3 linked regions of the Oryzias latipes genome follow. The protein of the gene in region 2 interacts with the protein of the main gene of each other region in a pairwise test. Links are inferred from orthologs where the notes say so. Each region holds a gene or a part of one and is shown on either strand. Other genes may lie near its edges.

Evidence for each region.
Region 1: the proteins of sp4 (region 2) and pou2f1 interact in binary tests that used the Homo sapiens proteins (3 or more experiments, as listed by UniProt). The two-hybrid records come from large-scale screens. The link is inferred for Oryzias latipes from reciprocal best matches to the Homo sapiens genes SP4 and POU2F1.
Region 3: the proteins of sp4 (region 2) and nrf1 interact in binary tests that used the Homo sapiens proteins (3 or more experiments, as listed by UniProt). The two-hybrid records come from large-scale screens. The link is inferred for Oryzias latipes from reciprocal best matches to the Homo sapiens genes SP4 and NRF1.

The regions. Positions count from the first base shown.
Region 1 is NC_019879.2:10,747,777-10,751,431, forward strand, and holds part of pou2f1 (POU domain, class 2, transcription factor 1), read right to left. Parts: intron 3,208-3,655; coding exon 3,028-3,207; intron 2,952-3,027; coding exon 2,831-2,951; intron 2,748-2,830; coding exon 2,656-2,747; intron 2,553-2,655; coding exon 2,382-2,552; intron 689-2,381; coding exon 547-688; intron 1-546. UniProt on the Homo sapiens protein: Transcription factor that binds to the octamer motif (5'-ATTTGCAT-3') and activates the promoters of the genes for some small nuclear RNAs (snRNA) and of genes such as those for histone H2B and immunoglobulins.
Region 2 is NC_019869.2:9,692,420-9,696,074, forward strand, and holds part of sp4 (transcription factor Sp4), read right to left. Parts: coding exon 2,890-3,655; intron 2,647-2,889; coding exon 2,448-2,646; intron 1-2,447. UniProt on the Homo sapiens protein: Binds to GT and GC boxes promoters elements. Probable transcriptional activator.
Region 3 is NC_019881.2:14,758,342-14,762,018, forward strand, and holds the end of nrf1 (nuclear respiratory factor 1), read right to left. Parts: intron 1,688-3,677; coding exon 1,527-1,687; 3' UTR 635-1,526; downstream 1-634. UniProt on the Homo sapiens protein: Transcription factor that activates the expression of the EIF2S1 (EIF2-alpha) gene. Links the transcriptional modulation of key metabolic genes to cellular growth and development.

The sequences.
Region 1 (3,655 bases), on a different chromosome or scaffold from region 2:
TTTTAATAAAGCTTTTCAAAATAAATGAACTAGATCTCTTAACATATCAGACTGTTCCATGATGCAGCGATGAGGTCTGACCAAGAAAAACAATTGACTGTAGCTCCTCCCACACACAGTGTGATCATCGAGTCTATAAACACACTTTTGGACAAGCGTTTGCAGTGAATTGTCAAAACAAAGGTGACCAATGCAAATTTGACACGCACATTGTGTTTGATGTGAACCCAGCAATCCAGTTTTGCCCATCACCCTTCTACTATTGCCATTATAGTTAACTAGAAAGGTAAAGTGCTCCCTTACAAATAATTTAATGCATGTGGGATTCAAACCATAGCTACTGATCCGTATGTATCACGGTTCAGCCGTGATCCATTGCACTACTCAAGAGTATGTTAGAAACACCAAAAACACAATTTCCTCAGTGTGTCTTTAAACGCACCTCTTTGATCATGAGTGAGTTAAAGGTGAGGACTTGACATCTATGTTCGTTTTCAAGAAAGTGAATGTATGAAAATGATGATGATTGTAGGTTTAGGGACAAACCTGCATCATTAAGCCACTTCTCCAGCAAAGGCTTAAGTTTGCACATGTTCTTAAAGCTCAGGTTCAAGGCCTCAAAGCGAGAAATGGTGGTTTGACTGAAGTCGTTTCCATACAGCTTGCCCATGGCCAGGCCGACGTCCCCCTAAAGAAGCAGAGGAGCAGACAGAGAAGTATGAGCAGCATTAATTATTAAAGGTCCCCTCATCTCCTGGGTTTGATTAACACCCTTGAAATAAATCTCTGTTCATTAAAATTACATGCAAGATGCTTTTTTCCCCTCGTTTTAAATATCCTAGAAGAACCTCTGTGTTTTCATGTGACATAAATGCCAGGATGAATATAAACTCCGCCCCTCAGCTCTCTTTAACTTGAACTTAACTAACTTATTTTAAAACTTAAAACAATGATAAAATATTACCGGATGTTTTAAGAAAAACTCTTCAGAAAGATTTGAAACTAGAGCAAAAGTCAACACAACATGTAGGTCAAAATACAAGAGTTGTATAGTGCCCTCTGGACCGTAAAATGAGCAACACCAGAGATCAAGACCTGATCTTGAAGTGAGGACATTTACAAATACTCCACGGAGAAAAGAGGCATCACTAATTTTTGGCAAAAACTAACTTGATTTTTGTTGCCGTCATTGGTGTCTTGGGTTTCTGGCTCCAGTCTGGAGAGTTTAGAGAGCTTTCACCTTGACCCGTTTGAACCTAAAGTTACAAAGACAGCTCGTCGCACTTGACCAGGTGGTAACGCTCACCTGAACACTGATGCACATGGAACTGGTCTGCCTAAAAATTATGGTTTGGTTTCTAACCCTGTATCTTGGTGTGATTCAGGAAAGTGATCAAAGAGAGAATGGAACCAAAGAAAATTAAAACCATGGATTTTCTTTGCAATGGTGGATTTGTTAACCACGCCCATATTCTTAATATATTCATATTGCATGGTAATTTGTTTCATTAAGCGTGAGCTAACAGTTAGAATTAAAATTTCAAAAAAATCCAGCAAAAAACGTGTGAACAGGGAAACGCCTCTTTTGCAAGCACGCAATGTGTAAGCCGTTTCAAATCTACAACTCTTTATTCCAAAATGTTTTCCAAAGTAGCTTCCCAAAGACGGTCGAGAAGTTAGGAAGAGATAGACGATAGGAATTTAAATTTGCTGCTGCTAATTAAGTTTTTTTTTTTTAATTCAACTTGACAGCCTCTTCCAGAGGTCAAAAGTCAACAAAGCTTTGACTTTACCTGGTGCCACAAAATGGTTGCCCAGTCATAGGTCCTGTGGTCATCCCATAATAATTTCAAAGCTTCCTTTGGATGTCCCCAACACATTATTTCTGGTGTTGTTAATGAATTTACAAAAACATTTTTTTTGGTTTAAAGGCGCAATAAAGAAGACGAATTGCAAACACAATCTGGTCCTTGCACCAGATAAATCCAGGATTTTGGTCTCTGTCTTTAAAGAAAGCTTTTTTCAGAGCCTGGAAACTATTCATGCTTTTATCAGAAACTCATGTATTGCCATGTTATCATATATTAGTCATTATAACTATGAAACACTCCATCTCCCCTTAAAAAGTATTGATTTACCAAAATCATGAATCACTCAAGTTATCTAGTAAATAATTGGATTTTTAAGGAAAAAAAACTTTTGTGTTTAGCCTTTAATCTTTTCACAAAGATTTGTCGTTGATAAAATACTTTTTACTTTTTTAAGTCTTAAATTAACATATCTAGTTAAATCTATAGTAATTCTCAATAACACACAGGAAAACAAAGGCAAATTGTTAAATGTAGATTTCCCTGATCGTGTGGAGGCGATTCAAATCTCACCTGTGTAAAGCCCAGTTTAATTCGTCTCTGTTTGAAAGTCTTGGCAAACTGCTCCAACTCCTCAAGATCACTTGGTTCTTCCAGCGTGGGAGTATCCAACCGCTTGGGTGGTGTCTGACTCTGGGGCAGCTGAATAGGCGTGGCTGCTGTAGTTCGGGTTGGAGTTGAAGGCTACACGGGTCACAAGCGTAACCAAAATGTGAGAAACATTGAAGTTTACAGCAACTCCAACACATCTTTGGACGTTTGAAGAAGTGGCTGCGTTAAGACCAACCTGAGTTGCAAGGTTGATGCTTGGTTGAGTTGGCAGGAGGTTAGCTTGGCTTTGAGGTAGTTGAGTTAGAAGACTCTGGGGTTGCAATATACCTGCACAGCATCAATGGAAAAGGAAACAGTGATTATAACGCTTGAAATGGCTCCTCTTGATGCTCCTCAGCATCCTCTCTTACCTTGCTGGGCCTGCGGTGTCTGTGAGATGATGAACTGAGCCGGCTGCAGTGAAGTAGCAATGTGATGACCAGGCTGAACCAGAACAAACTGAGGCAGGCCTAAACTCTGCTGTTGTAGCTGCTGAAGAACAAACAATGTGCCATGAATGTTCATACCTCTGACTGCGTCTGAAGAAACTCAGAGGCGGATGACTTACAGAGGTAATCTGAATGGGCTGTGAGAGGGGTAACTGGGTAATGGGCGTGGCTGCAGTGGCTGAGATGTTGGCCCCAGTGGTGCTGTTCTGCTGGCTGGCTGTATGCTGCTGCACAGCTGCAGCCAGGATCTGAGCCTGGGCCTGCTGGATCAGCAGCTGCTGCGTTGGGGTCAGGGTCAACTGTAGGAGGCACGGCAGGAGAGGAATACAAGAAGGGGTTAATTTATTGTGAAGAACACGCATAAACATGTAGAAAAATGTCACAATAAATCAGCTTCTATACCTTTGGAAAGGTTCATATCTCTACTCACTTTGCATGAACACAGATGAGTTTACTTTTGTATCACTGTTTTCACACATGAAAAATGATTCTTTGTTTAACCAACAACTTTGGAAAGAAAGAACTGCTTCTGTTAAATGATGACAGCAGCTTCCTTACTCCGACTCATTTCGGCACAAATTTCCAGAGAAGCAGAAAAGTATTAGTACTGTATTTTTCGGAATATAGGTTGCAGCTTTTTGCGTGGTTTGGCAGGGTGCGACTTATATTCAGGTGTAAAAGAAATGTCAAGAACCACTAGAGGGCACTGTAGGTGTTTGCATCAGTATTGACAGCAACAGCAAACCT
Region 2 (3,655 bases):
AATCGAATAATGCCATAATATTACAACAGAACCGTCTATAAACAGCCCCTATGCCAATTCCCCATCCCTTCCTTATCTACAATGAGGCAAAAAAGTATTTAGTCAGCCACCAATAAGAAAACAAGATTTCTGGCTCTCACAGACCTGTAACTTCTTCTGTAAGAAGATCCTCTGTCCTCCACTTGTTACTTGTTTTAATGTCACCTGTTTGAACTGGTTATCTATATAAAATACGGCTGTCTACAACCTCACAGAGTCACACTCCAAACCCCACTATGATCAAGACCAAAGAGCTGTCTGAGGACACCAGAAACCAAATTGCTGACCTGCACCAGGCTGGAAAACTGAATCTGCAACAGATAAAAAGCTTGGTGTGAAGAAATCAACTGTAGGAGCAATTATTAGGAAATAGAAGACAAACAAGACAAATGATAATCTCCCTCGAGCTGGGGCTCCACGCAAGATCTCACCCTGTGGGGTCAAAATGATCACAAGAACGGAGGAAAAATCCCAGAACCAGACGGGGTACCCAAAAGAATGGGCCAAAGTATCAACGGCTATCATCAGTAACACACTACACCGCCAGGGACTCAAATCCTGCAGTGCCAGACGTGTCCCCCTGCTAAAGCCAGTACATGTGCAGAACCGTCTAAAGTTTGCTGGAGAGCATTTGGATGATCCAGAAGAGGATTGGGAGAATGTCCTAAGGTCAGATGAAACCAAAATAGAACTTTTTAGTAATAACTCTACTGGTCGTGTTTGGAGGATAAAGAATGCTGAGTTGCATCCAAAGAACACCATGCCCACTGTAAAGCATGGGTGTGGAAACATCATGATTTGGGGCTGTTTTTCAGTAAAGGGACCAAAACAACTGATCGGTGTGAAGGAAAGAATAAATGGGGACATGTATCGTCAGATTTTGGGTAAAAACCTTCCATCAGCAAGGACATTGAAGATGAAACATGGCTGGAACTTTCAGCATGACAACAATCACAAACAAACTCGGTTTTCCGGTAGAAGAAGCCTAATTACAAAAAAGCAGCATTCCGCCAGAATGTTGGACATGCATCAATATGGCACAAGAAAGTGCATGAGGGACACGTCTGGCGAGAATTATTTCAGAGACAGCGCAAAATCCAGCTTTTATTTTGATAGTCCATTTCCGCTTATCAGCAAGTTAATTTGCATGTTAGCTAAAAATTTAGTTAGGAGTGAAACATTTAGCTCCAAACTAAATTTTTAGTTAAAAAAAGTATAAGTTATAGATACATTAATTAAAAAGTGAAAATATGCATTTGAAAAATGAAACCAGTTGCTTTTATCCTAAAACAGGCTAAATAACCAAAAATATTGTTGTCAATATCTGATTTTTTCACTTTGCAAACGGCACCCAATAGGTGTTCTAGAATAAAATGTTGTTACAAAATTCTGTAGTCTATCAGATGTCAGACTTTGATTTGCTTTTTGGGACAAGTGATCATCTTTTGATGCATTTCAAAGGTGTTCTCAGTGGTCTTTTATCTTGATGATGCTATGATTTAAAGCCTGTGTTGTTTTCTAGGACATAGTTTCTGCAGAGCAGCAGCAGTTAATTAGAAATTCACCTCTGAATTGTGGGCGAGACTGTTGCCGCGAAGTAAGCACACCCCACTTCCCATCACCCATCTGTTTCTACGTTCTCCCACTGGCTTACAGCCCCTCAAACCCCCACCCTCACATTACTGGTGCAACAAATTTGGCGAACATTATCAGAGCGATCCAGTCGTACAGTTCTGATCAAGATACCGGCTCAGACGAAGAAAACATTGTCTGCAAGTGGATGCATAAGAAAGGGGCGGAGTCAGGAGCTTGTGGCCCGCCCAGTATATTTTCTACATCATGAATACAAACTTTTTCAAACTGCGTTTTTTGTGTTAAAAACAACAAAAAACACTGAAAGAGTGAATCTTCAAGAAAGCACACAACTTAAAGACTCACTCTAGTGAAAACATTTTCTTGTGGTATTTTCTGAAATGATGGAGGATATATATAACATAATTTAAGATTAAAATTGCACTTCTGTGGGTTTTTTTTTTTAATGCAAATTGTGAATCGGTTGCAGACGGAAAAATGCCGTTGGAAAAAGCTTCCTGCTCTGCTCCATTCTGATGGATCCACTTGCAGACAAATAGATCAATGTAGTCCAACGAACTCCAGCAACTCTGCAGAAAATGTGTTTTAGAAAACAACACAGATTTTGTTGATACTTTAAAGACCACTGGGAACACTTTTAAAATGGATCAAAAGATGATCGGAGTGGGACTTGAAATAAAACTTCAAATCCTTTAACTATTTGTCAATAACTATGAAATTGCAGAGACTAAAACGTATCCAACCCTTTAAAATGTCTATTGTACTTCTGAATTAACTGCTTTCTGGTGGTTGTTTTTCTTGTAAGCTCTCCATACCTCCCCTCTCCATCCCTGCAGTTGGGACAGGAGCAGGCGACGCGTCTGAGCCGCTTGCTGGGCTGGCCCTCCTGATCCGAGGAACTCTGAACTGAGCCGAGCTGATCTGGACTCATGGATGAACCTGAAGCCATGTTGCCGACAGTGACTGTCACAGGAGAGGACTGAACTTTGACCCCATCCTGACCCTGTGTTTGACCTAGAGGTGAATTTGAAAAGTGTGTCAACCTTTATGTGACATGCAGAAGAAAAAAAATACACTAAAAACTGCAAGAGGAGAAAATTCTAAATGTCTGAGCAGGAGGGATGTTTCTGATATTTTGCTTTAAGTGGTTAATCTGGGAACCGGCCCCAAAATTGATTCAAAAGTCCTATAAAAAACGTCAATCACTTCTGAAAAAAGTGTCTCATAGTCACACTGTTACACTTATTGTGTACTTACCCTGCAGACCGGTGATGGTGAGAGGAACCCCCTGCACCTGAACCCCAGCAGTGCCCAGTCCTGCGATGCTGACCGTTTGTACCCCTGAGCCTGGGTTGATCTGAGCTGCACTCAAAGTCAAGGGAGTGCCGCTCAGGGAGACCAACCCCCCACCCCCCACCGTCGCACCGCCTGCAACCGGGGCCAGGGTCAGCTGCTGCGGCACAGCCGCCCCGAGACCGCCCTGCAGCGACACTCCTCCAGGAAGTTGCAACGTCTGCCAGGTGATTTGCCCAGAAGGTGACAGAGTAGGAGTGCGAATGAGAACCTGGGCTGGGTTCTGGATGGCCTGGATGGGCTGCAGAGTTTGTCCTGGCGCCAACTGAAGGGTCTGAATCTGCTGAGGCTGCTGCTGGTTCTGTGGCTGACCCTGACTCTGGGCTTGGGGTTGCAACTGGATCTGCTGGACCAGCTGATGCCCAACCTGACCCACGATCACCTGCTGGATGGTTCCGACGGCGTCAGTCTGATTCTGCAGCCCGTTGGCTTGGTTTTGGTTCTGAGAATCTGCCTCGCTGCTCTGTACCTGAGCGTCAGCTGATCCTGTAGAAACCACTTGAGCCGCGTCTGACACGCCGTCGCCCTCAGCTGCCGCTGCTGTGGATCCAGTTGCAGCTGGAGCAGCTCCAGAAACAGCTGTTGTCACCAGCTGGTTGCCATTAGCAACAGAAAATGTGCCATCCGCTGATTGGATGAGCTGAACGGCTCCGCCCGCTCCAACGTTATT
Region 3 (3,677 bases), on a different chromosome or scaffold from region 2:
TTTTGCATATAATATTTTGGGAAGACTTGTTTATTGTATCTTCTTTTGCACTGATATTGTGACTGTTTCAATCTCATTGCACATGCAGACAGTGACAATGAAGGCATATCTTATCATAACCCTTGTGCTATCCTAGGCACTTTACCATTGGGAGTTGGGTCATCTAGACCCACTGGACAGTGCTCTGAACCTTTTTTCTTCAATGATTTGTGATCTTCACTGGTGTCCATGGATTACATGAAATCTTTCCACCTTTATCATGGTAGGGAGAACACGTCAAAGTAAGGGTGGGGTCATCTAAGATAACACAAGGGTTAAAAGATGATATAGTAATAAGATGACTCATTGATGTGTATTTTTTAATTGATTGCTTTCAGTGTTTGTTCCTAGTTTTTTGCAATTCTATAGAAATTTTTGCATCAATTTAACTTTAGATTGAATTTTAAAAATGTCTTGAACTCGCCAAGTAGTAAAACTTCATCCGAAGCCCTTTTTAAACCTGTAATGTTATTCATTGTTACACTTCTGTTTATTCTTTATCAGTTGGAAATAAAAAAAAAATCAAACCTGACAGATGCCACAGTTCCCACCGAATCAAATGCCTAATAGTAGCCGAGTGAAAAGGAACAGCAGAGACATTTCTGGACTTTATTTTTTCAAATACACAAACGGGAATGAAAGCTAAACCGACTGTAACAGCTGCATCAGTTTTGGCAAGCAATGTTGTTTCCGCTGAAAATGCTCATTAGCTTGGCTAACGCTGCACTTCCTGTCCATGTGCAACTTCCTGTCATGTACAAAATGATGTATACTGGTTGTAAGTGACATACAAAGGAGTTAATAAAAAAAAATAAACACTTAATGGGGTGCTCCTCCATCCATGCAGTATAAATAAACATCTGACAAAGACTGCTCCAATAGGTATTCTAAGCAAAACAGCAGTAGACAACACCTTGATGTACATCCTGAGTCAGCGAGTTTGGCATGTGTTTGGACTACAGCAGATGAGACCAAAACGATTATTTTTGATGTTTTATACCAACTGGGAGTGTCGACAGCACACGTGCTGAAAATTAAGTGAGAACAGTTTCTAATTATGGGAAAAGACTAAAGAGCAAAACGAGTTTTAAATGCATCCTAAAACGGAATAGTCATACACATCAAAAGGTACAAAAAAATATCGATCATTTATACACTTTGACATTTCGTGGCTTTCCTCCCATGTGTTTTGGTTTGTTTTAAGTATGGGCTATTTGCAAAAAACAAAAAAAAATATAAATACTAAACAGGCAACATGAAAGATCTTTAAAAAATATGAAGCTTAATGACACACACAGCCAAAATCAATATCTTTACATAGTAAACACAATGCAACAATCATTCACTTTCATTTCCCCTGCATATGTACATTTAAAAATATATTTAACATTGTACACAATGTGAAGTCTTGGAAAACATGAGAGGGAAACAAGTCTCCAAGGTGGCCATTCAGTGCTTTCTACTATTTTTTTTTAAGGTCCATAGTGTCATTGCTCCAGGGTCACAACCTCCACTGCCTGGCCGTCTAGTGTGACAGTGTTATCTATGCGTGTGGCGACAGGTGCCATGGCAACCTGGACGGGCCGGTTACCCTGGGCGAGGCTGGTGACTACGGTCTGGTACATGCTGACCGGGATCTGGACGAGACCTGAGGAAAAGACAGGAACATCCAGTTAAATTGAGCCCAAAGGCTTTTTGCTTGTTTTTTTAGGATGGTTCTAGAGGCCCGCACAATCCAGGTGTGTGTTCACGACAGAAGCAGCCCTGTCTCATGGACGCCATTTCTGAACAACAGTCCGATTGAGGATCTGAGGCTCGCTTCCCCCCCCCCGCTCCCAGCTGTGCTGGAGGAGATTATTGCTGCAGTCACGTGGGCCTCAGCCCCACCCAGCAAGCTGTCACTGTGTCACAGGCAAGCAAGAAGGTCAGTGCGGGCTCATGTCCCTCTTTTAAATATTAAAGTCTTTCTCAGCCCTCGAGGTTTCAAAGTGGTCATTTTAAAAAAAATAAAAAACAGCAGTTATGGAATCCATCCCACTGTGAACACAGAACAGTAATCAGCCAACCAAACAAGCATTTGTTTTTCAATCAAACTGACTAGAGGAAAAATTTGTTCTTGTTTTTAATGACAATGATGTCAGTGAATAATAATAATTAATTAATAATGATCATTAATAATAATAATTGAACCACAGCCCTTTTAAAATCTGATCAGTTGGATTATTTAATCAGTGTGCACAATTAAAATTAAACAGATCAATGATTAGTCTATTCATTGGTTTTGGAACCAGCCAGGAATTTAACAACCCCCCTAGTGGCTGCTTGATGAACTGACCTGGATCCATTTCCCTAGTTTTTTACAGTCCATCTTACACATCCAACACGCTGAGCTGGGTTTGTGTCACTTTGTTGGTGGAGATCAGTGAATGCAGACTAAGTGATGCATTTCATTCAGTTCTAATGACAGTGATAGGTCGAGGTCATGAGTTTTGCTCTTTTGATGAAGACTGACACTGTGCATTATGATACCTGCATATACCAGATAAGAGTGTTAAAGTGAAGAAGCTGAACAAATGAAACTTTATTAATAAAAATCTTAACGACCTATTCTGATGAAAATGGTGTTTTTGAGTTCATTTTTCTGATGACAGAGAACATATATAAAGAAATTTAAGGTCAACGTTGCATTTCTGAGTATTTTGTTTCATTCATCGCGAATCAGGAGCAGATGAAAAAATTCTGTTGCTCTGCAGAAACTGTGCTCTATCTAGAAACCACACAGGTTTTTTTGATTTTGGCTAATCATAATCAAAAGACCACAGGGGAGGCCTTTACAATAGATCAGAAGATGATCGGCGTGGGACTTTAAATGGTCACATGGTTATGTGAAGCCTATCCTTTCTAACGCGTCATACCTGCAGACACCTCACTAGTTATTCTTACACAGATTGTATTTCACTGATATCAAGAAGCAACATACATCTTTAAAACTATTAGGGATGCATTGGTGTGACAAAGCTGTGTTTGGTGTTTTAATGTCTTAATTGTTAACATTTCTCTTCTTTTGGTAACATCCACTTTCAACCACGTTTGCTGTGTTACAAACTGTTCCCTGTTGGATTCTATAGTTGTTTTTATCCAAATGGTTTTATTTAACTTATTTTTCACTAATTACTAATATCAATATGAATGATTTGTTCGTTTTTTCATAAAATGTGTATGAAGACCTGTATAATAGACAGTCTCTGGACTAGCTTCCTTTGCATTTGCTGTTAATAAGTCAACACAAGATAAAAGCTTCAAGTGAAACCCAGGTTTGTGCGTCAGTTACAGACCACGACCTGCAGATTAAAGGCAGATTAGAAGAAAGCCCATCTTGTCAAACGGATGTGTAGTCTCACACATAAATCTCTACTCATTGAAGACATTTCAAACCTCAAATTAGGGACTTTAACAGCCTCTAACTTTGTGTCTCTGGTTAGCATGTCGCAGCTTCACGTCTGATTCTGAAAATTAATTAATTAAATTTAAAAAAAGTGGAACGACAAAGTGCGCACTGGATTAGGCGGGTCATTTATTAGCAACATATTAAAAGAAGGGAGTTCTGCCACAAAGTGCACACGGACTAAAACACACCA